Linked DNA regions of Drosophila melanogaster. The protein of the gene in region 1 interacts with the protein of each later gene in a pairwise test. Each region holds a gene or a part of one and is shown on either strand. Other genes may lie near its edges. The genes, in order: CycJ, CG15043, Pgam5 and RAF2.

Region 1 (5,315 bases):
CAGCTGAAGCTTTGATGGCACCCGGTCGTAACAGCCAGGAGAGGTCCCGGTTCTATGCCAACCAAGTTTGGTGCAACAAGGTGGATGTAATCCCGGGACAACAAATTGTTACCAAGCGCAGATTTGTTGCTCTGCGTTTGGGTTGCTTTGAAGTAAGGAGTCCTCTCATTAAAAAATATGCTTATTTTTAATACTACCGTTCTTTTAAGGTGCCCAAAGAATTGCGCCAAATTTGTTTGACTAGTGAACGGCGACAAGAGATGATCAAGGCCATCGAGCAGCACTATTCATTCCTCACGGAACCCCTAAGCATTAAAACCTATATGCACCGTTTCAGATTGCTCCTACACCTCGAGGAGATCGAGTGCTTCGTCAACTTTCGCAACTACGACAGAGACCGAGCACACTTTCTGCGTGACGGAGAGTTCCTCACGCTGCAGATCGAGAATCTAGCCGAGCGTCGACCGTCGCTGGTCATTGGCGATACACTGCGAGTCATTAATCCCTGGTCGGATCCCGATTCCCAGACCACCAAGTCATACGAGGGCATTATCCATAAGGTGCTCTTCGATCGCATTTTACTCAAATTCCATTCCAGTTTCCAGGAGAAATATAATGGCGAGGACTATCGACTAGAGTTCTATTTCTCACGCTACAGTTTTCGCAAGCAACACCATGCCATCTCCAAAATTGTAGGAGTAATGGGCGAGGATTTCTTGTTTCCCAGCAAAGTAACCAAGCGCGAGAATCCCCAGCTGGATGTTTATATGAAGGATGACGACATGTACTTGTACGATTCGAAATTAGAGTGGTATAATCAGTCGCTTAATTCCATCCAAAAACGTGCTGTTTTCAATATACTGCGCGGTGAAGCGGAGAACATTCCTTATGTGCTGTTTGGGCCTCCGGGCAGTGGAAAAACAATGACACTTATTGAGACACTACTCCAGTTGGTTAGGAATCTGCCTGGTGCCCGAATCTTGGTGGGAACGCCGTCGAACAGCTCAGCGGATTTGGTGACAAAGAGGCTCATCGATAGCAAAGCTTTGCTCCAGGGAGATTTCATTCGCCTCGTTTCGTACAATCAAGTGGAGAAAGACTTGATTCCTCCGGAAATAATGAGCTACTGCGCCACAAGTGATGTCGGTGCTGTGGGCAGTTGCGAGGACAAAGTGAGTAGAAAAATTTTATCATTTGGATTGGACACCAATTAATCTTGGCTTTGTTGATATTTGCTATAGATGATGGTCACCGAATCGGGATTGAAGCTTCGCTGTCAAGCTAAGTTTATAGGTACTCATCGCATTACCATCTCCACCTGCACTACTTTGGGAAACTTTTTACAATTGGGGTTTCCAGCGGGCCATTTCACTCACGTGCTGTTCGATGAAGCTGGTCAATGCACCGAACCAGAAACAATGGTACCCATTGTAATGCTAACGAAGAAACGCTCTCAAGTTGTTCTCTCAGGTGATCCTCGCCAGCTGCAGTCTATTGTCACCAGTCGAATTGCCTCGAAAATGGGATTTTCCATATCCTTTCTGGAGAGATTGCTGGAACGGTCGCCGTATCGAAAAGATCTTCAGCGATTTCCCGAAAGCTCCGGCTACAATCCACTAGTGCTAACCAAATTGTTGTACAATTACCGAGCATTACCGTCGATTATGAGCATTTATAGCAGGCTATTCTACGATGACGAACTGATCCCAGTTCTTTCCGAAAAGGATTCAAGGGAATCTCGCCTACTAAGTAAACTGCGGTGTGTATTTGAGTCAGAAAAGGATATCCCTCAAGCGCACGGCACGTTCTTTTACGGAATCATTGGCGAAAACAGGCAAAATAACGATTCCCCTTCCTGGTTCAATCCCCAAGAGGTCAGGGAGGTGTTCCTAATGACCATCGCCCTGTACCGTGCCAATGTGACTGCCGATCAGATCGGTATAATCACGCCCTATCAGAAGCAGGTGAAGATGCTTCGGAGTATGTTCATTGGCACCGACGTGGTCATGCCGAAGATTGGATCCGTCGAGGAGTTTCAGGGACAGGTGGGGTCGGAACTAAAATCGATATTACGTGCACACTTAACGTTTGTTATTTCCAGGAACGAGACATTATACTAATATCCACGGTGCGTTCATCAGAAGAGATCCTGCGCATGGATGCCCGCTTCTCCTTGGGATTCGTGCGTTGCAGCAAGCGACTTAACGTGGCCGTTTCCCGAGCACGTGCCATGATGATCATCTTCGGGAATCCCCATCTTCTGGCCGTCGACGAATGCTGGCGCCAGCTAATCCTGTTCTGTGTCAAAAATAACGCCTATTTTGGCTGTGATCTGCCTCAAATGGTGATAAATCAGAAAGATGAGGTCCCCGTTTGCTTGGAAACATTCGTGCCTTCACTGAATACTACAGATGATTTGAACTAAGCACATATGACAGTTTATTATTAAATTAAAACACTTGTTATTGATGAATTAAAGTAACACAATTAATCATTAAACTTGTTTTAAATATTTGTACATATGTGCTAATTTTAGCGAATGGTAACACTCCCAAGCGCAGTCTGGGAACGCTGCTCGTTTGGCTTCGCAGTGTGGTAGCACTGGCCGGAACCGTTGTAGCGCCATGTTTGCGCTCCTTTTGTTTTCTCCTTCATTTGTTTTGCTTTTTTCCGCCGTTAAGTTCTTGCCTTAAAATCGGTGATTTAAGGCATTGCATTCAATTTCGATACAATGGAGCAGAAAGTGGCTGCCGAGCAGAACATCTTCGTCGTCGACCGCAAATTGAAGAAAACTTGCCCGCAAGCAGATGTCGAGGTGAACGGACATGTGCTTAACTTTTGCGAACCCGACTTTATTTCGTTAAATACCAATTTGTAGCGCCTGGCTAAGACGCACTGGCTCACCGACTATGCCCGGGATATATTTTTGACCATGAGGGAGCAAGAACTCAGCCGTCGGCCTTTGTTTTACCTTTCGCCGCAGCTGAACGAGCGCCGAAGAATGCTGCAGTTGCTCAAACTGGCGACCAGCGCCCACAAGCTTAGTCGCTGTGCTTTGCACCTGGGTGAGCACTGTACAGAGGAGCCTCGCTGCAGGCACAAAACCCATGTGCACAACTCATTGTAACTCGTTTCACTCCAGCCGTCTACTATATGGATCGCTTTGTTGATTACTACAAAATCCGTCCGGACAAATTGCTCCTGGTGGCCATCACTTGTCTTCATATAGCTGCGCAGATCGAAAACACGGATGCGTTTATTCCGCGCTACAGCGAAATGAACCGATTGGTCAAGAACGCCTATACGGCATTCGAGTACAAGGCTGTGGAAAGGAAGATCCTGTGCTTCCTGAACTTCGAGCTAATACGTCCCACCACCGCCAGTTTTGTGGAGCTCTTCGCCTGCAGTTTTCTCACTCGCTCCGATTTCAAGAACTACATCGAGATGTTGGATGAGTACGAGCGGAACCATCACACCCAGCCGTACCAGCGATATATAAGCTTCGAAGAGATGCTGTCCATTTTGGCGCAGTTGCTCCTTCGCATGGCGGATTATACATTGTACAGTGAGTATCGAATTCCCATGGAAGGTATTGGATACCACTTAACACTCATTCAGTTTCCAGATTTGCCAACGATCTGCCATCCCTTTTGGCTGCCGCCTGCATTGCTGCAGTTCGCCAGGTCAGCGGGGTCAGGCGCTGGTCGGAGTACCTAGTTGGACTGACCTCCTATACTGAGGCGAATGTCGAGCCGTACATGAACGTTCTGACCGACTATTATTATTACCATGTTATTCAGACCGACTACGGTAGTCCCTCTGTTCAGACCAACCAGAGTTTAGCCAGTCCCGATTCCGGATTCGAGGAGTCCTTCACTGAGAACACAAACCTGGTGGTCTCCGATGAAGTGGTCACAGTAGAGACCTACAACATAATTACCGTGCAGCTGCAGGATCCATCTCCACATTCATCGACTTTCCTTCCCAAAGAGCAAACGAATTTGAAGCGATCGCGCTTTGAAGACGATACCGAAAACCAGCACCCATTGAAACACGCCAAAGTGGAGAGTGTAGCCAAAGATTAGTAAAAGGGAAAAACGAAACTATTACCATTTGGAGGAAATCCAAATAGCTTAGAAGTGAAATGACATCCATAACGTAGATATGGTCTTGTTCAATTGAGTTGAACCTCACCCATATAATAATCGTGATGTTATGCTTTAATATATATGTATTTAATATATATTTGAAATTATCTTATAAACTTATAAATACAATATGTCAAAAACTCAACAAAAATGATGCATTAACTAAAAACAACGAAGACATTATTTATAATTCGCTAAAGAACAATGCCCCTTGTTTAATTTAATCAGACGTTTGCGGGAGCTTTCAAATTAAAAATTCTTATAACTATAAGGGTTTACAATTCAATTTGGAATGCCAAATTAAAGATGTCAGTTAAGGAACAATGAAAGGGTCATTAAGGCTTTCTTATTTTTACATAGGTTGTATGACTTAAGATCGAGTTTTTACAAAAAAGAAACGAGATAGATTTCGGAACTCAAGCAAACTTTGGACAGTTCTCAATACATTTTCAGCTTCACAAATGCAAAAAGATTAAAACTAACTGCTATTAGAAGTTAATTGATTGTCCAAAGAATACTCTTCGTTCCTTAGATTTCGTGTCGTTACAATCGAATCAACTTAAACATGGATGTTACTCTTTACACTTCAATTTGACGTACGTCTCATATATCTAGCCTAGCCCCTAAATGCACAAGGCGGGAATGCATCGAGGAAGTTGAGGGAATCGGTGACGGAAGGAATGAAGAGTGTCAAACTAACTAGCTTACTTAAACATGCATTGCTAATCCCAGTGTAGTAAGTAGTTGCGTGGGCCAAGGTGCTGGTAAACATAAAAGTAGTTTGAATTTACAACATTTACAGGACATCTGTACAAGGATTGGCTTTCATCGCTGCATGTCGCGTCGCTTCAGCACGTCGAAGATCACATCGGAGGCGTTCTGTTTGTTGCTTGCACCAGACTCGTCCTCCGAGTCGGTTTGCTCCAGCAATGGCACCGTCAGCGTGGAGTGCGACTTCACATGGACACCCACAATGGCACTGCCATCGTTGAATTTGTACTCCCCTGGCGACGACTCCTCCTGGTCGTTATCGAGCTGCAACTCCTGCTGCCGCTGCATCTCCTTCATATTGGAGTACTTGTGCAGTAGGTGGCAAACGATACCAGCCAGGCAAATGATCAAGCCAATGTAGTTGATGACACTCAGGTGGTCTTTTCTGATAGTCAC
Region 2 (4,684 bases), on another chromosome or scaffold:
CCCTGCATCCGGCCACGCAGCAATTGTCATTGGGTCACTGCGATGTTAACGATAGCTACCAGCAGTGGTGGTTCAAGGAGATACGCCCACGCTGGTAAGTCCAGCATGTTTGGGAGGAGCAGCAGGAGGAGGAGGATCAAGGAATGGATCACAAGGGTTTCAGCCGGGGCAACGGGGGCGATATTTTAGACAAAAGCAATTTAGTGAAAATGAGAAATGGAATTGTTGTTGGTTTTGTAACGCATATAAGTATTGATATACACACGAAAAACACAAGATATCACACACATCTGCATTTATGACGCGAACTGTATGTACATATGCACTGTCGGCACTTGGAAATCGCCTGGGCAACCGGGATTCAGACAAGGGCATTCAATGCTCGGCGAATAAATAAATCCACAAGGATATTATTAAATTATTAAAGCTTAAGAATTTCGATTTTGTAAAACAATGTCGTAAGGAATCGCGAACAATTGTATTTCCATGTAAGCATTAGAACAATTGCTTTTAGACCATATTTGTAGTGCATGAAGTGAATGCAATTTTCAAAATCGTGTGTGTGTGTTAGTAGTAGTCGTACTTGAAAACTGTTTTCCACTTTTGTCACGAAAGATCAAACTCCACAAAATGCACTTAGTGCAGAGCGTACGAAAATCATCACAATTAGCTGATAGTGAACCCATTCCCATTTCGATCGGCGAATCTCATACAATAGATATTCAATTGATATTTGGGAGGATCCAAGCCTGGGGGATTTCCGTGCCGACCTCGTGTGTGTGTGTCCTTGCGTATGAGTGAGAGAATGCGATGGGTATAGAGCGGAAGCGAATAAGAGCGAGATAGCGCGATGGCGGGATGGCGAGTCGAGTGCAATAGAGGATTTATGAAACGGGAACGGGACGCGATGACAGGGCCGCAGATTGTTTTGCTTTATGATTGCCAACTGAAAAAATGAATGTACTAACCTTAGTCTATACTCCTGCAAGTCCAACTAATCCTAGCTTAGTTTCAACGCTGCCACATTCCAATCTAATCCATTATAATCTATTCTAATTCCAATCCAATCCAATCCGAACCGAACCAATCGAGTCTGCAGCGAAGCTCGGCTCTCTTACTACTAATCCCATTATTTTTTTTTAAACTCTTGATTTTCGTAAAGCTCTCTGTACCAGGTAGTCGTAATCGTAATTGATCGTTGCAAGTGCTTCGGGAGTTTGATTTTTGAAAACAATATTTTACATTCATGTGTAACTTTAGAGTTATCGATAAGTCTGAATAATAGCATAGAAATAAAAACGTTTTCTAAACACTTTACCATGTAAGCCGAGCTGTTGAATGTTTAATATTGTGGGGAAGGGTCGATCCATTTATAAATCAATAGATATAATAAAGTTCCCATCTCAAGATGTGCTCACAATTTGAAACCTAAGTGCACAGAACAAGTTCGCATTTTTCGAAAGTTTTTAAAATTTCTTTTAATTTTATATTCTTTTGACGTAGGTGCACCATTAATGCCCCGCCAATTCTTTAAGTGTACGCATAGAATGGCGAGTAAATCCAATTTTAAGCAGATGATTCATAACTTATTGTTAAATCAAATCTACAATTATCGATGGCCGCGTTGATTGGGAGTGGTGATGATGGGTCGATTCGTCTCGAAGGTACTCGACGTCCCACTTCCAGGGAAGTCCACGGGCGATAAGATTCCGGGAAGTTCTTTCCTCCATCGCGGGTAGGGAAGTCTAAAAGCGCGAGGAAGGGGGAGGGAAGTCCAACAGGGGGACGCCAGCAGGTGTCAATCCTGGGGCAATAGATTGCGCCTAGAGTTAGTTTTTGGCTAATCAGGGCCTGAGGAAAAAAAAAAGATTGTTTGTTTACCGTCGGATAGGAAAGGTCGTACTCCCAAAGTGGGAGTCGTGGTCTTATCTTCCGCCCATTGGTACACCATCGCAGCTGCCGGCGGGGCGAAAGGGGGATGATTGGATCCGAGCGCAATAACACCGAAATTGTTCAATTTAATTGAGTGAAGTGGGAAGCTTCCTTATCAGCATTATTATGGTTACACTTCCGTGGGGTCGCTGCACTGTAAGGTGCTAGATATAAAAAAAAGCCCAATAACTCATTTATTTATCCTCTAAGCTCTAATTCAATACAAGAGTTTCATTTCTGAACGAGAAGTAGAGCAGTTCCAGCGTCGGTGTGACTCTTTTTCCGGTATTGGATTAGACATTGTCACTTGCCACTTGAAATTGGCAATGGGCCTGATAAGGGGGTACCTAATATGATTCAAAGAAAAACAGTGGGCGGTATAAATAGGTGGTTTCCAGACCTTGGCCATCATTCCGTGACTTCAACGTGCCGTGACTGGAGACCCTTAGTCCACACACTTCGTTTACCTCGAATTTCAATTCAACGCCCAAGATGTCCAAGTTTAGCCTCATCCTGTTGTCCGCCCTGCTGGGCTGTCTTGTGTCCGGTGGAGCGGCTGGAACAATACGTGTGGATACCACCGGCATCCAAGTGGTGGATAATATCCATGTCTTTGCCGCCCAATACCCGGGTCTGCAGATCCAGCAGATGGAGAAGGAAATTGTGCCGGCCAAGGCCCGCGTCGGAAGCCAGACCGTGCGCTACAACATGGGAGCCCGCATTCCGGGTAAGTTACCCAAAGCATACCCTACGTTTGACCGACCACCAATCACTGATCCCGCAATCTGGCATACTTTCAGGCGACGAACTGGTGGCCCAGACAGCCAACACTTACGAATTCCCACGGGCGCAAGATGTGAGCCTGCAGCTTACCTATCCGGAGAACGGCAAGGGTGCCACTGTATCCTACGTGGAGCTGCTCTGCACCCAGGACACCAACGAGGGCACCGCCTACGTGGTCGCCGGAGGCATCGGCCAGAGCTTGATCTCCATCGTGCTGGAGGCCAAGAACACCAAGAACTTCTCATACCAGGCTCTCTACTACGGAGTCAACTAGGAGGCATTTGCATTAGTTCCTCGCTAGCTTTATATATATATATATTTTTTTTTTTTTTTAAATGTGACTCCAATTTTAAATACATATGTATAATGGCAGACTAAAATGATTGCAGCACCTGCAATTATCTAGATTTACGTAATTAATTTCATTTCATTGATGGGATAAAGTTTATATGCTGTCATATGTTTAATCGTAAATATGCAATTAGATCATATATGTTTGTACTATCAGTCACTCTGTTAATTGAGTTATATGATAAATCAAATTCGGACCTGTTCCTCTAATTAAAAAATTTCATTTTTAACGAAGAATGTGTAGATCCAAAGATATACATGTACGTCTTTCACTGTGTACGATCGAATGTCGAATGTATTGCAAAGCTGAAAAGTCGGTAATGGTAGAGATCATATATCACCATCCCCAGGGTATTCGGTAATCTTGATCAATTTCAAATGGTTCGTTGCTCACGCGCCTTCCACTCGAAACCGATGATAGCCATTGCCATAAATCTGGGACAGCCACTCACCTGAATCCGCTGTGGATTCCGATTGCGGCTCCGTTTGGCATGGAAGGTGAAACCAAGGCGGCAAATCATCCAGGGATTTGTCTGCGAAAGAGTGAGACGCATGAAGTTTTTGTTCTACTGACGTTATTGAACTTTCCCCCTATCTGGCTGGATTTTTAGAAGGAATTCCCAACCGAATGAATCACGTTTTGGATGAGAACGAACAATGGCCAAACTCCCAAGACTTTGCGATTCAATTGGGTATTTATCATATAGCTGGGCATCTGAGTATCTGAGTATCTGTCTTCATTCAACTATTGGGGGGACTTTCTCTGGTGGTAAGTACGTCAGTCCAGAATCGATGTGGTATATATAGATATGTATGAATATAGTATCTATGACCATGTTGCGTAGACAGTCAATTGACTTTGTAGATACGGTTATTTGTTTATTAGATTGTTTGCCATTGTGCGCCATTATGCATATCAAGGCTAAGATTGTCGTGGAACAAATAAACAAACAAACACGCGCCATCACAGATCGTCATTCAACGGCGGAGGAAACATTTCCTTTATCCAGTAAGGTGGTGCTTCCTATCACTGGTTTTATTATTGGGTGGGTTGTCATAAAAAAAATAAAAATAAAAATCAACAACATACTATCTAGCCGCTTACTAATAGATTGAACTACGATAGCACATTAAGTTAATGCTTCTTGTACGCAGTCCGTCCAATCGTCCAATCAAATAACAAGTGTTCCCATCATATCCCATCATATGCCCATCCAATCCAATCCATTTCCCAGCGGTGTAAGCTCGAGTGTCCTATTTATAGGAACTGATCGCAGCATTATGGCCAATTAGTCGATGTGGTTTTATAAAGGCGTTTGCCGAAATTGCCACAGCCAATTCCCCCGGGGGCTTATCGTTCAGTTGTGTCGGGCCGTCTTATCGACGTAGTGACCGCCGATAAGGAAGCATGTATAAAAGCCGGAGGCGGTCGCCAGTACCAGCCAAAATTCAAAAAGCGTTCGAATAGTGCATCAGAAAAGGAGTCTACACACCCCTTATTCTTCCGATTATTTTGTTTCGTTCCCATTTTTTTTCTGGTGATCTGGTGATGTTAACAAAGATGTTCCTAGTGCTCTGCCTGGTGCTGGGCATCATGGCATCGGTATCCGGACAGCCA
Region 3 (4,683 bases), on another chromosome or scaffold:
CCATTTGCTGTTGGCTGAACTCCTGGTTGGGGCTCTCCCTGGTAAACAGACCCATCTTGGACTCAGATCCTGCAGTGCCCGGCGCTGTCGGTGCTCCTCCCACCTCTCCGCTGTCCGTGCTCGAGCTGATCAGCGAGTGAGCCACTGTGGGCGCAGCAGGACCGCTGACCAGGTGCGGCGGAGCGTGCAGGGGAACGTGTTGGTGCTGCTGTTGCTGGTGCTGCTGAGCGCCATGGTAACGCGGTTTGTCTGCCTTGCGCCACAGCGTGATCTCCTGTTGTTTGAAGTAGCGCCGGTCCTCGGTGTCCATCAGCACAAGGTTGAGGAAATACTTGACTGAGAACTTCTTGTTAATGTCCCGCATGGTCGGCGTGAGATTGTAGCCAGCAAGAAAGACCCGGATGGGTATGCTCTCGCCTTTGACGGGCGCTCCGTCCATGATCTCGTACTTGGCAATCGTTTCGTTTTCGTTAAACATGGTGGGGCCCGTGCCCGTGCTCTCCTTCTTGATGATCGCAATCTCCATGTGCTTGATCTTAATGCGCACCAACAGGAAGTAGATCTTGCCGATAATCGTGTCCCGCAGGTGGTACTTGCTTTTGTTATACTCGAATTCGATGTGCAGGCAGTCTTCGATGCCTACCTCCATCTTGATGGGGTTGTTCATCTCCGGGTAGCTGCACAGTGTGTGCACGGCGATGTCGACCTCCTTCGTTATGTCGCTGATCCGCCTGACGATGGTTGCGCGCAGGAAGTACCGCAACCGCACGTTCGAGCCGGCGTACACCTCGAATTGCTTCTCCACTTTGGGGAAATCGAATGGATAGCTGTTGTTCTGGATGAGATCGCCCGGGCGGGCCAGGGCCTTCGCTAGACACTTGAATTCGTGGTGGTTACCCCGGTCGTAGTACAGTTCGATCTGGCCAATGAATTCGATCTTAATGCCCTGGTGCTCCAGCTTGCTGCCCGGCTTCTTGAGGGTCACGTTCACCTGGATGAAAAGGGGGTGGATATGGGTTTATCTCTGGTTATGCTTGGGGGAACTCCCCCCGATGCTGACCACGACGCACCTTGCCGGATACCGTCTCCCCGTCGTAGAATAGCAGCATCTTCTCCACTTTGCCGTCCTCCCCTTTAACCTCTGCCGTCTTGTGCTCAGCTCCATCAAAGACTATCTCAATGTCCGCTGACTGGCCGAATCCCAGGAAATTCATAATTGATAAACGTCGAATCGGCTTCTTCTTCTTCCGTTTCTTATTGCCCCCGCCTCTGCTTCTTGCTGCTCCGATGGAATGTCGACGCTGTGACTCCTGTTGGCGGCTTTTCCTAGAGATATCTTTCTGATAACCCCTTCAATAAACCTCAGCTTTGATAGGCGTTTTTCTGCGGCCTTTTTACGTCCTTCGTTCCGATGCTGGCGTATCTGTCGCGTCTGTGTGTGTGAAATGAAAAAAATTGCAATTTTTCACACTACGGCGTTGCCATATCGCGTCAACCTGATTGTTATTAAGGAGTGCCAGCGCTGGTACTTTTCAGTATTCAGTATTTGCATGGTATTTCTTTAAGAAACACATACGGAATAATTAACGAAACAATTGATTGTGGATCCTTAATTTTCTTGGTATACAATAATTGTGTAAATATATTTCGTATTTTTGATTCATCTTGGTAACTTTTCGATAGTTGAATTCTAAATGGTCTTGCGCGGTATTTATATACCCGCTAACCTAGTATGTCAAATACCAAATCGCAGTATTTAAATACCGCACTTATTCAGCGGAACAAAACTAAAATTAAAGAAAATACCTAAAAGCCCTAACGATGCGAAAGTTGACTAGCTTCGTGTGCGGCACAGGAGCCGGACTGGCGGCTTACTACCTACAGCGGCTGCGGGACCCGCAGACGGTCGTGCAGAACTCGTGGACGCACAGTGATAAGCCGGTGGATCCGTGGGCCCTTTGGGACACCAACTGGGATTGCCGGGAGCCACGGGCCCTCGTGCGTCCACTGCGAAACAGCCAGCCGGAGGAGGAGAACCGCTACAACGCGGAGCTTGAGAAGGCGAAGGCCAAGAAGGCGCGCCACATTATCCTAGTGCGGCATGGCGAGTATCTGGACGTGGGTGACTCGGATGACACGCATCATCTCACGGAGCGCGGCCGCAAGCAGGCGGAGTTTACTGGGAAACGGCTCTGCGAGCTGGGCATCAAGTGGGACAAGGTAGTAGCCTCCACAATGGTGCGGGCCCAGGAGACTTCCGATATTATTCTCAAGCAGATCGATTTCGAAAAAGAGAAAGTGGTGAACTGTGCCTTCCTGCGTGAAGGAGCGCCTATTCCGCCCCAGCCGCCAGTCGGCCACTGGAAGCCGGAGGCATCTGTAAGTCAAGTCAAGGGTCAACCCAGTGCGTATTCCACATGATATTCGGCTTTCATTTCACTGCAGCAGTTCCTTCGCGACGGATCGCGCATAGAGGCCGGCTTTCGCCGATACTTCCACCGCGCCTATCCCGACCAAGAGAAGGAGAGCTATACCCTGATCGTGGGACACGGCAACGTGATCCGCTACTTTGTCTGCCGAGCCCTGCAGTTCCCCGCCGAGGGTTGGCTACGGATTAACATTAATCACGCTTCCATCACCTGGCTGACCATCAGTCCATCCGGCAACGTGTCCATCAAGTACCTGGGCGACTCCGGCTTTATGCCCGCCGAGCTGCTTACCAATCGCATACCGCGCGACGTCAAAAACGTGGTTTAGCCGTCTGTTTATAGAACTGCCCAAAGGAGAAGCAATCATAATGTATTTATTTCCAACACTTTAACTGAGACCTTGAGCACAGATCGCGAGACTGTGTAAACCACCATGTACATTTTGCCGCACCGTAACGTATATCTCTTAAGGAGGAATCATTGAATCTTCCGACTGAAATAATAAAGATTTTATAGAATGCCTAACATTTTATTGAGAATCCTTATATGTACAAAAGAAGCCATGAGGAGCCTAAACCCTGCTCAAGACCTTTTGGAGTCGCTGCAAGCACTTGCGTATGCCCACATCTTCTCCAGCGCCGCGTTTTAGCTCCACCTGCTCTGCCTGCTCCCTTATAAAGGATAGGATGGGAGCCACTAGATCCGGCGCCAGCTCTGCCAGGTTGATCAGCATCTGGAAGTAAAAGTAAGTGCAGTGGGCCAGGTGCTTTTCGGCGAGGGATCGCAAGTGATTGGAGCACATATCCCTGACCGCCTGTGATCGCTTGTAGGCATCGTGCGATATAAGCACTTTATAAAGTCCAAACACTTGGTTGCGACTGAGGTCCACTTCGTCCACGAACATTACGTGTTCCAGCAGCGGGATGTGCACGCCGCGCAAAACGGTTAGCAGCTGTTCTTCCTGCTCTTTGCCAGTGCTCTCTATCAGTTGCTGCATTATAGTGATCACCAAGCCCGCATGCTGTCCTGCCCTCCGCCGCTGGACCACCAAAAACTGGGTAACGAGGAGCTGAAGCACAAACTGCGCCAGCTCTCCATCTACATCCGCCTGGAGGAGGGTGGCATATGGACGGGCCACCAGCTTGGCGTTGGATGAGAAGCTAAAGTGCGGCGTCCAGTGCTGAACTAGTTGCTCCAAAGTCTTGGCCACGTATGCGTCCGTGCGGTAAGGCAGTCGACCAATGCCTTGCAGCAACACTGGGAAAATCTTGTGAACCACTTGTGGAAGGCGACCTTCGGGCGGCACTCCTGCCTGCAACTGCGTGGTGAGCAGGAACCGCACCATGGCCAGGTGGAAGAAGCAGCTCGGCTTGGATCGCACGTACGCTAGAGTGGAACAATTATAGATGACAATGGCTAGGAAGCTGTAGAACCGGGAACCGAGTTCCGATCGGCTTCGATCCGGGGGTAGCCATAGCTCGAAATGATTTACATAGGCATGCAGTTTGTGGCTCAACTGCATACGGACGTGGGCAGCAGCCTCCTCTTGCTGGGCACGCCTTCCCAGAGCTCCAAAGAAGGCGCAGAGAGGCTCGCGCCCGCCCTCCAAAGAGGTGGGATCAATGGCCAGAAGTCGGAACTCCTCTAGCTGTGTGACATGGGGCATTAAAGCCAATACAGATTCGTGTTGTGCGTTTAGGAGGACCAGAGACTTCACCCAGACCTGAAGAATGGTGGAGCTGGCAGGTCGCCCTCCGTCTTCCAACACCTGGAGCAACAACTGAGCAGAAGCAGCCATATTGATGGGTTCTGGTCCCTGCAGGAAGCCCAGTAGCAGTTTGTCCCCATTATTCTCCAGGGCGATGAAGTTAGCCGCTAGCTTTGGAAGCCATGAGCTATGGCTACTAACGTATTGGGTCCTCACCAGTGGCATTATGTGCTGTTGAAGTGCCTCCTTGATGCCACTCGCATTGCCAGCCACAGCTCTCCGCTCGCTGAGACGGAGGATTAAATTGTGAAGCGTCTGCCATACGCGATCCTGCGATGCCTGCCCACACTTTTCGACGTAATGTGCCAGCCATGGCCCGAGAAGCTGCTGCTCGCCGCGGTTGAAGTCATCCGCCAGATTAAAGATGGCTTGAAGGCTGCCCACATAAATGGCGCCCACCTCTGCATCATTGCGAATGGTGGCCAACTGGTTGAGCAGCTTGCTCACATAGTCATCCATAGATAGGCGATGCTGGGCATGCAGAAG
Region 4 (8,195 bases), about 13 Mb from region 1:
AAAAAACATTAAAAGGGCGTTTTTATTCTCTTCGAACACCGCTTAAATACGAATAAAATAGAAATACCCCATACAAATTCTACTGGCATAGTTAGCATTGTTTTCAACAGCCAGGTGTCTAGTTTAAGTACAATAATATAGTACCGAGTACACACAGTTATGGGCCATAATTCAGCTGAAACGCAGCGCGATTCGAATCATTTGCAAGCCAAATTTGGCGCGAACTCTTCGCAAACATTTTTCGCATATTAATTTGTGTTCTCGAAATGTGCTCAATTGTTTGGAAAAACTAATTACGTGCGCGCGCCTATTTCCATTCCCATTTTGCAGCTCCAGCGTCTGCAGCGCTCCACCAGCGCCAGTGCGATCCGTTCGCACCTGACCAAGGTGTCATCGACGTACCGCCGCCCCATCGCCTTCAATTTCGTTCGGCGCGAGTGCAAGCGTTTCTACGTCTTGCCCGTCTACATGGTGAGTGTGTTTCCCCCGTTGGATACCTTCTTTTAGGGTGCACCATAATGTTTACTACTGCCATCCCCACACACAAACACACACCCTTCCACACTTATTGAATCCAATCCCCTTTCGATTCCAGCACAGCACCAAGCAGAGCATTCGATTATGGTGGCAATATGCCTACAAGTGCGTCACGCCCTCCGCCTCGGCCGGTGCCGTCTGGAATCCGAATCTGAAATTCCGGCTCTACTGCAGCCGGCAGCTGCGCATCCGGAAACTGAGACGTGGTCCGTGGTCCAGGAGGCAGCCACTCCGGCTGCATATAAATGACATCAAACTGATGTGCCAGGTGCGCAGGCGCAGTAAATAAATGAGGCGATGGCAAAGCCCTAAATGATCTGAAAAAATTCCATTATACGAATTATATGTTATCAAAGTTTAGTCGAATTTCACAGAAAATTCTGTTTGAAATTTGAACAATAAACTTGGCGCCATTTATCGATAGACCAAGCCAACCAGTTCTGCAAACGGTAAAATTTTATATTTTATAAGTACCAATTTTAAAACACTTTCTATTATTGTATTAAAACGTCTCATCATTTTCTTTATTTTGTTGAACTAATACTTTTTGGTTCAATAGTCTTCCCAAAAATTAAATAATAAGTGCTTGTAAATAAATATGAACTTGTTTATTTTGCCTTTAGCATGGAATTACATCCAAAGAAACAGAAAATAAATATATTAATTCTTAAATAGATATCTTTTATGTAGCAAACAAGAAGTCAAGGATATTTAATTTTCAAACAAAAAAAGTGGGAAAACGAGGAACATTTTATCAATACGATTTTGAAACAAAATGAATTTCGCGCGTTGTTCATAAGCAAATTGGAATCAATTATTAAGGAATTATAATTATTATATTTAATCCCTACCAACTTATAATAGCTAGGCATATTACACTTTAAATTGTGCTTCATTGATTGAGTACAATTGCAAGCACTTAATTCAATAAAACGCAATTGAAAATGGTCCGCCAGTGTCCTGTGTCCTTCAGTGAGTTACACGGTTGAGTAAATATATAGTAGTGCATATGCGATACGTCTATATAGTTATGTTTTAGTAATGCTGATGTCCTAAGTGAAGTCTATTTAAATGCCACAAGTTCGGTGATGTGTGTCCCAATCGCTCAGCTATAACGAATGTATTATAAAAGATAGGTAAACATGAGTACTTTTCCTTCAATGCGTCACTGGATAAAACAATTTAAAAAAATGCATAAAATACATAATAAATCCTACAATGCTTACCTGGCATTCACGACTGCAGTACCATTGATTCTGACAGTTGGAGCACATAAAGGTGGCTCCATAGAGCTTGCACTCGTGGCATTGTCTACCTGTGTTACCGTTGATGGTGGCGGAAGATTCAGCCTGGGACTTATGGGAGCTCCTATGCTTGTGAGACTTGTGCTTATGCGACTTGCGCTTGTGAGACTTGTGCCTCTTTTGGACATTCTCATGGTCGTTGATATTAGCGGAATGTTGTTCTTGGTAGGACTGAATAGAAACATTTATTTTCGCGGAATGTCAAAAAATATTGTGATTAAGTGCATACCTGTCTATTGGCCAGTTGGCGACGGGAGGCCATCGGACTGCTGTTGAACAGCGGTTCGATCTGTGATTCATTATCCGAATTATTGTCCTCCATTGAGACGTTACTAAAATGCGAATAATTTTTCCAAGCCCTAATCTTGCGAAGCGTCTCTGAAAGATTGGCTGACAAATGTGTCGAGGAGCTTGCCATGTCCTGGTTACTATAAATTATATGACGTTAAAATAATATGTTCTAGTATATTATTTGTATTTTCTCACCTGTCTTGCGAGTGGATTAGCTTCGGTCGCTTGGCTGGCGGATCTCTGTCTGGATTGCTATCTAGCAGATGGTCATTTACCGCATTCCGAGATTCGTAATGCTGATCCCGCATTGATAGATGACTTACGGGCAAGGAATCTCTACGAAAAAGCATTTGGTCATCCTCGAAATTGGCCGGAGACACGGACGGTGCGCGTTTATTTAAGCCCAAGGAACTGAAAACGATCAATTTTAACTTGGGATTCTCAGAATTAAACATTTAAAGATTTACCCCCGCAGAAGCTGTATGATGTTCTGGTTTAACTCGGCGTAATTCAGTAATTTTTCAATTGCCGACAAACTATGTTTGGAGGCCATTGGAGAATCGATTTCCTCTTCTAGCATAGCCTTTACCTCACTGAGCTCCTTGGTGCCGCACTTGTTGATAAGGATGGGCAGTAGGTCCTTAATACGTATCAAGCGCTCCTTTCGCTCCATTCGTTCATGCAGCTCCTTCTTAATGCAGCTCAAATACAGCAGTCGGTTATATTCATCCTCTTTCTGGGCCATCAGCTTATCTAGGGCTGCAAGATCCGCAACGATGCGTTCGCGCTCTTTTTTCAATGAATCTTCATCAGGGGGTACCGAGTTAATTTTATCAATCATTGTCGAGTTCAATTCATCGAAAAGTTCTTTGACGCGATAATGGAAGTTTGCATCACTATTATTGAGATCAACGAATGACTTTTGGCGGGTTGTCGAAGAAGAAGCCGCTGGTGACCCCAAGCCCTGCGTCTGGGTGCTCACCGTTTCCGATCGACGGGGTTGCGGCTGTTGGGGCACCGCAAAGTTGGGAGCAGCCACTGGAACAGGATGCAGTTGAGATGGCGATTGATGGACCTGCTGTGATTGGGCAAGCTGATGTGGACTAGCATGCCTTTGAGGGGTCAACGGCTGCACCGAAGCTGGTCTTGATGAATCTGGCTGCTGTGGTGGAGGAGCTAGCTGCTGTGGTGGAGGAGCTAGTTGCTGTGGTGGAGGAGCTAGCTGCTGTGGTCGAGGCGCTAGCTGCTGTGGTGGAGGAGCTAGCTGCTGTGTTGGAGCTAGCTGCTGTGGCGGAGCCATATGTTGTGGTGGAGCCATATGCTGTGTGGGAGCTCGCTGTTGTGGCGGAGCCAGCTGCTGTGGCGGAGCTCGCTGCTGTGGCGGAGCTCGCTGCTGTGGTGGAGCTAGCTGCTGTGGTGGAGCTAGCTGCTGTGGTGGAGCTAGCTGCTGTGGTGGAGCTAGCTGCTGTGGCGGAGCTAGCTGCTGTGGCGGAGCTCGCTGCTGTGGTGGAGCTAGCTGGTGTGGTGGAGCTAGCTGGTGTGGTGGAGCTAGCTGCTGTGGCGGAGCTCGCTGCTGTGGTGGAGCTAGCTGGTGTGGTGGAGCTAGCTGGTGTGGTGGAGCCAGCTGCTGTGATGGAGCTAGCTGCTGTGGAGATGGTCTATGTTGAGCCAGGTGCCGTGGTGGAGCGAATGGAGCTGTAGCCAGTTGCTGTGGAGGAGCTCGCTGCTGTGGTGGAGGAAGCTGCTGCGGTGGAACTGATCTTGGGAAGTGCATCTGTTGCACGGGGGCTTGTTGTAGTGGAGCAACCTGAGATGGAGCTCTCTGCGCGAGGGCAGCCACTTGTGGTGCAGCAGCATAGGATGCAGCGACTTGGGATAAAGCTGTCTGTTGAATCGAGAAAGTCGCATTAGCTTTCATGTTATTTGACAGCTTTTCGTTGGGATAGGATATCTGCATTTGGGTGGCCGTTGGCGGTGGAGTATTTAAACTGTAAGTGTCAGCTTGCTTGGCGGCAGTAGGCGGAGCCAGGGTATACGGTGTGCTCAGCTTAAAAGCCTGCTGACGCTGAAGAGGATTAGTCGATGGAGTGGTGGGCATTCTTAGATTTAATGGTGGAGCTGCCTCCATTGGCTTCTGTTGCTGCACCGTTGAAAACCCAATTATATTATCATCCTCGACTTCATTGTTGCGCTTCTCTTCGCTAGCGGGCGGTGTTACCGAACGGCGTCTTTTAAGAGTGGCATCAACCACAAGCGACTCTGCCTCATTTGGCGCATCTCGCGACCGGTCCTTTAGAGCCTGTTCCAATTCCCGACACGCTGAGAGTTTACCGTAGTCGAAGACCGGTTCCTGGGGATCCTTCTTTACCAGGAACTCGTCGAGGATAGAGGCACCGTTTTCGTTGTTTCCAAGTGGGTTTGCTTTCTTCCTTTCTGGCAGCTCGTAGTTTAGTTGGGGTGGAGCCGGAAGCGTAGGCTTATTTTCCTTGATGGGCGTAACCCTTGCCGGCTCTTGCTCTGGTTTCTCAGGCGAATCCTCGTTCTCCGTGTCGTCAAGGCAAATGAGTTCCGGCGAACCACTGCCGCTGCGGCTGCGAGAATAGCTACGACTACGACTGCGACTGCAACTTCGGCTAAGACTGCGGCTGTGGCTGCGACTACGACTGATGCTCCTGCTGTCGTAGGTTCTGCGCTGCCTGTCATGGAAGCGAACCAGGTGCTTCAATTTACGCTTGGGCAGCAAGTCCTTCAGGCCGTCAAAATAGCTGTTGTAGTCCATTTTATTGGGTCGCAGCCTGAAGTGTGATCGGATAAGATAGGATTACAGTTTCAGTAGGTTCTTTGGGAAGTAAGCCTTACCAACGAATACTGCGACGCTTGAAGTAAAGATTGGGCAGCCTGCCACGCTGTAACTGCAATTGCCGGATCCGCCGAATTGTTTCTGAGCGCGTGGAAGGTGGCACCGCATCGTCATCTGGCTTTTCATTTTTCTCAGTGGCAGCCGCCGATTCTGGAGCTCCATTTCCGGGTTTCTCGGACTCGGATCCCTTGGATTTTGTCTTTTGGGGTCGTTGCTTGCTCACCGCCGCGTCCATTAGAGCGTCGTATTCCTCCTCCTCGTGGCTATACTCGTCGCTACTTAGCTGCGAATTGGAGGAGTCGTAGATCTCGTTGGACATTAGGCCTGCAACTGGACGACGGTCAGGTATGTACATCTTTTGGCATTAACCCCCTCAAAAACTCACGCGCTCACGTCTGCAAATTTTTGGCCAACAAAAAATCGTCTGCCGGTTGAATATTCTAATCCGCCGACGGGCTCACCTTTTCAGTTGCTGAAAACCACTTAAAACAATGGCCCAAGTCCCCAAATAGGCTAATTCGGGTTTATACCAGTTTTAAAGCGTTTACTTTCAGCAAAAATCCAATTTCCAAATGCGAAAAAAAATTCGCCGTTCAATTCTGCGAATAATTTTGACAGGCATTTAGTATGGACGCAAACCAATAGGGTAACCACTTTTGGGAAAGTCTTTAAATAATACTGAATAAAATATGTTCTTCCAACTAGTTCTTAGTTAGGTAAACCAAGCAAACAAATTTTTAATCTTATTAAATTAAAGTAATCTAGTAATCTTATTAAATATTACTAGTTTCGGGGTATTCGGTCATTTCATATCTAAAAACCAAATAACTATATTAGAATAAGTTACTCACTAGAGTTTCATTTTTTGATTTATGGAAAAGTTAGCGTAGATCAAAAATCAATCATTAATAAGCTATAAGTTGTAGTGCAGATCGTTAGCCAAATTATTCAGATTTCCTTTACAACATTGCAACCTGACAGCCCTGGTGGCAAATATTAAATATTGAAAAATACTAAAGGCAAAAGTGGCGATTTTCCGTTTGTTCACCGGTGTCATCGTCATTGCACTCGAACGGTCATACCGTTTGGCTTACAAAAGAAAACAAATCAATTCGCACAAAAACATTGCCAAAAAGGTAAATGGCGGGCACGACGCCGCCGAGTGATAACCATATAGTAGTGACCAGTGTTTAGCAACCGATTCCCGCCCAGTGACACTCGTAAACAAAGGGCACGACCGACAGTGTCTGTATATATATGTGCATATGCGTAACAGGGAATAACCGATAAGAACGGCGCAGCTGCAGATAGACATACCTTTAAATAGGACTTTGTTTATTGATCGTTTGTGGGTGGCTATTGCCTTGCAGATCGCGAACTGATAACCATAAATGTTAACCACGTCACGCCACCCCACGCCTCTCCCAAACACACACACTCGCACACGTGCGCCAGCTGAGCACATGCATACGTATATGCATGCTCACACGCACACAATCGCATGGTCGTGCACAAGAACTCTTTTGTTGTATGTAAAGTGGACGATCGAAAAAGTAAACTAATTCAATACAATGGGTTCAGCAATCAACGTCGGGGTCACCAATTGAGTGCATCAAAAATACAATCAATTCGGCCCGGCGAATTTTCGGTTGATTCAGCTAATGGCGGTGTGCATAAGAAATGGCATGAAAAGTACTCCTTTTTTCATTGGATTTAAATCCCATTATCATAGGAAGAAATAAGAAATTTAAAAAAAGCAGTGCTTGTCAACTGAATGCATTCATTTCTATTACAAAAACGTAGTGCGTTCCATTGTGCATGTAAATATATGCAGTCCCAGTTTTATATTACGTGTCAAAACAAAAGATTGACCTTTATCATTGGTCGTTTTACAACCATTGTTTATAACTTTGTAGAAATACAAATAAAAACTTCTTTGATAAACTTTATCCGCTGACATGTTTTAAATCATAATTTAAGTAAATCATGATCATTTAAATAATAATCTCAATATATAATACCTATTACTTTAGTTTATTTAAAATCCGAAAATCGTTTCGAAACTTATTTAAATTTGCTTAAATTGAAATATCTAAAATATCCGAAGCCAAGTATTATTTAATAAGAAATATGAATAGCTAAACGCCTTAATGAAATGATTTAATTAGTTTAAAGTTTTAAAGTTGTCGTTTTTACTCATAATTAAAACGGTCGTAAAACTTTAGTACTTTTTTAAAACATCTCCATGTACAAAATGTAAAAAATGACACCTAACTGTCATCAATTTTTTGCTAAACTGTTTGCACACTTTGGTCCCCATAAACCCACTCATTCTAAAGATTATTGACTTTCGCGAGCTTCCACTGTGAAGTGCGAGTATCTGCCCCATAATGACTATCCGTCGGACAGGCGGACTTTGTCCACAGCGGCTGTAGCTATTTCCAACGGAGAAGTCATCGATTGGCCAAGGCTGATTAGATTCCTCCTCCGGCAGCGGCCTTAGCAAAAGCTATAGCCTATAGGGCTATGGGCTATAGCTCCCGCTGATATCTGGCGAATATCTCTGCCGTGCGGCGGTTGCCCCAGTCCATTGCCAGCTGGTGGTGCAGGTGGTTGCCTTCCCGGATTTCACGATTTCTTTTAACTTGGCCGCGTGCTTTTAATTGAAGAAAACGCAGCTCTTGTGTGAGTGCGGGACCTTGTGTAGTGGTCATAAACTAGGTGTTCCACCGTTGGGACCATAAAGTGCGGGTTTACGAGCACTACCGGGAGAACAACCTACAATTAAAGTAGTGATTACGTAAAGACAGCCGTTTTATTGGTTAAACATCGCTATTTGCAGATCAAAATGGGTTCCCTGGAGAAGCTGAAACAATTGAGACTGATACACCTGTGCATCGCGCTCACCTTCTTTACCAGCGGGCTGTGCATCAACTTTATCCAGCTGCTGATGCACGTCTTTATCAAGCCCATAGACAAGCGACTCTTCCGCAAGTTGATGTACTATGCCTGCTATTCGCTTTACTCCCGTGAGTATATCCTGACCAGTTCCGATTCGAAGTAGAAACATAATACCTCCAATCCCTTAGAACTTATCTTCGTGTCCGATTGGTATGCCGGCAGCAAGATGACTGTCTACATGGACAAGGAGGACTTCGAGAAGCATGCCGGCAAGGAACACGTCCTTCTGATCATGAACCATA

What was found.
Region 2: the proteins of CycJ (region 1) and CG15043 interact in a two-hybrid assay, tested with the Drosophila melanogaster proteins (one large-scale study listed by BioGRID).
Region 3: the proteins of CycJ (region 1) and Pgam5 interact in a two-hybrid assay, tested with the Drosophila melanogaster proteins (one large-scale study listed by BioGRID).
Region 4: the proteins of CycJ (region 1) and RAF2 interact in a two-hybrid assay, tested with the Drosophila melanogaster proteins (one large-scale study listed by BioGRID).

The regions. Positions count from the first base shown.
Region 1 is NT_037436.4:3,463,808-3,469,122, forward strand, and holds CycJ (cyclin J), read left to right. Parts: upstream 1-2,620; 5' UTR 2,621-2,731; coding exon 2,732-2,815; intron 2,816-2,878; coding exon 2,879-3,065; intron 3,066-3,142; coding exon 3,143-3,565; intron 3,566-3,618; coding exon 3,619-4,085; 3' UTR 4,086-4,291; downstream 4,292-5,315. Other genes in the region: armi (armitage), read left to right, coding at 1-152, 210-1,172, 1,242-2,045, 2,102-2,425; CG14971 (uncharacterized protein), read right to left, coding at 4,974-5,315.
Region 2 is NC_004354.4:18,491,823-18,496,506, reverse strand, and holds CG15043 (uncharacterized protein), read left to right. Parts: upstream 1-2,338; 5' UTR 2,339-2,424; coding exon 2,425-2,659; intron 2,660-2,732; coding exon 2,733-2,989; 3' UTR 2,990-3,314; downstream 3,315-4,684. Other genes in the region: Pgant7 (polypeptide N-Acetylgalactosaminyltransferase 7), read left to right, coding at 1-98; CG15044 (uncharacterized protein), read left to right, coding at 4,616-4,684.
Region 3 is NC_004354.4:1,870,669-1,875,351, reverse strand, and holds Pgam5 (phosphoglycerate mutase 5), read left to right. Parts: upstream 1-1,786; 5' UTR 1,787-1,821; coding exon 1,822-2,379; intron 2,380-2,445; coding exon 2,446-2,757; 3' UTR 2,758-2,952; downstream 2,953-4,683. Other genes in the region: Vps26 (vacuolar protein sorting 26), read right to left, coding at 1-991, 1,071-1,214; CG14803 (uncharacterized protein), read right to left, coding at 3,001-4,683. UniProt on the Drosophila melanogaster protein: Displays phosphatase activity for serine/threonine residues, and dephosphorylates and activates Pk92B kinase. Has apparently no phosphoglycerate mutase activity.
Region 4 is NT_037436.4:16,383,753-16,391,947, reverse strand, and holds RAF2 (RING-associated factor 2), read right to left. Parts: upstream 5,622-8,195; 5' UTR 5,378-5,621; intron 5,323-5,377; 5' UTR 5,312-5,322; coding exon 4,992-5,311; intron 4,928-4,991; coding exon 2,600-4,927; intron 2,544-2,599; coding exon 2,328-2,543; intron 2,270-2,327; coding exon 2,071-2,269; intron 2,013-2,070; coding exon 1,764-2,012; intron 1,647-1,763; coding exon 1,605-1,646; 3' UTR 1,132-1,604; downstream 1-1,131. Other genes in the region: CG44836 (uncharacterized protein), read left to right, coding at 331-471, 596-826; Agpat3 (1-Acylglycerol-3-phosphate O-acyltransferase 3), read left to right, coding at 6,494-6,520, 7,835-8,021, 8,082-8,195.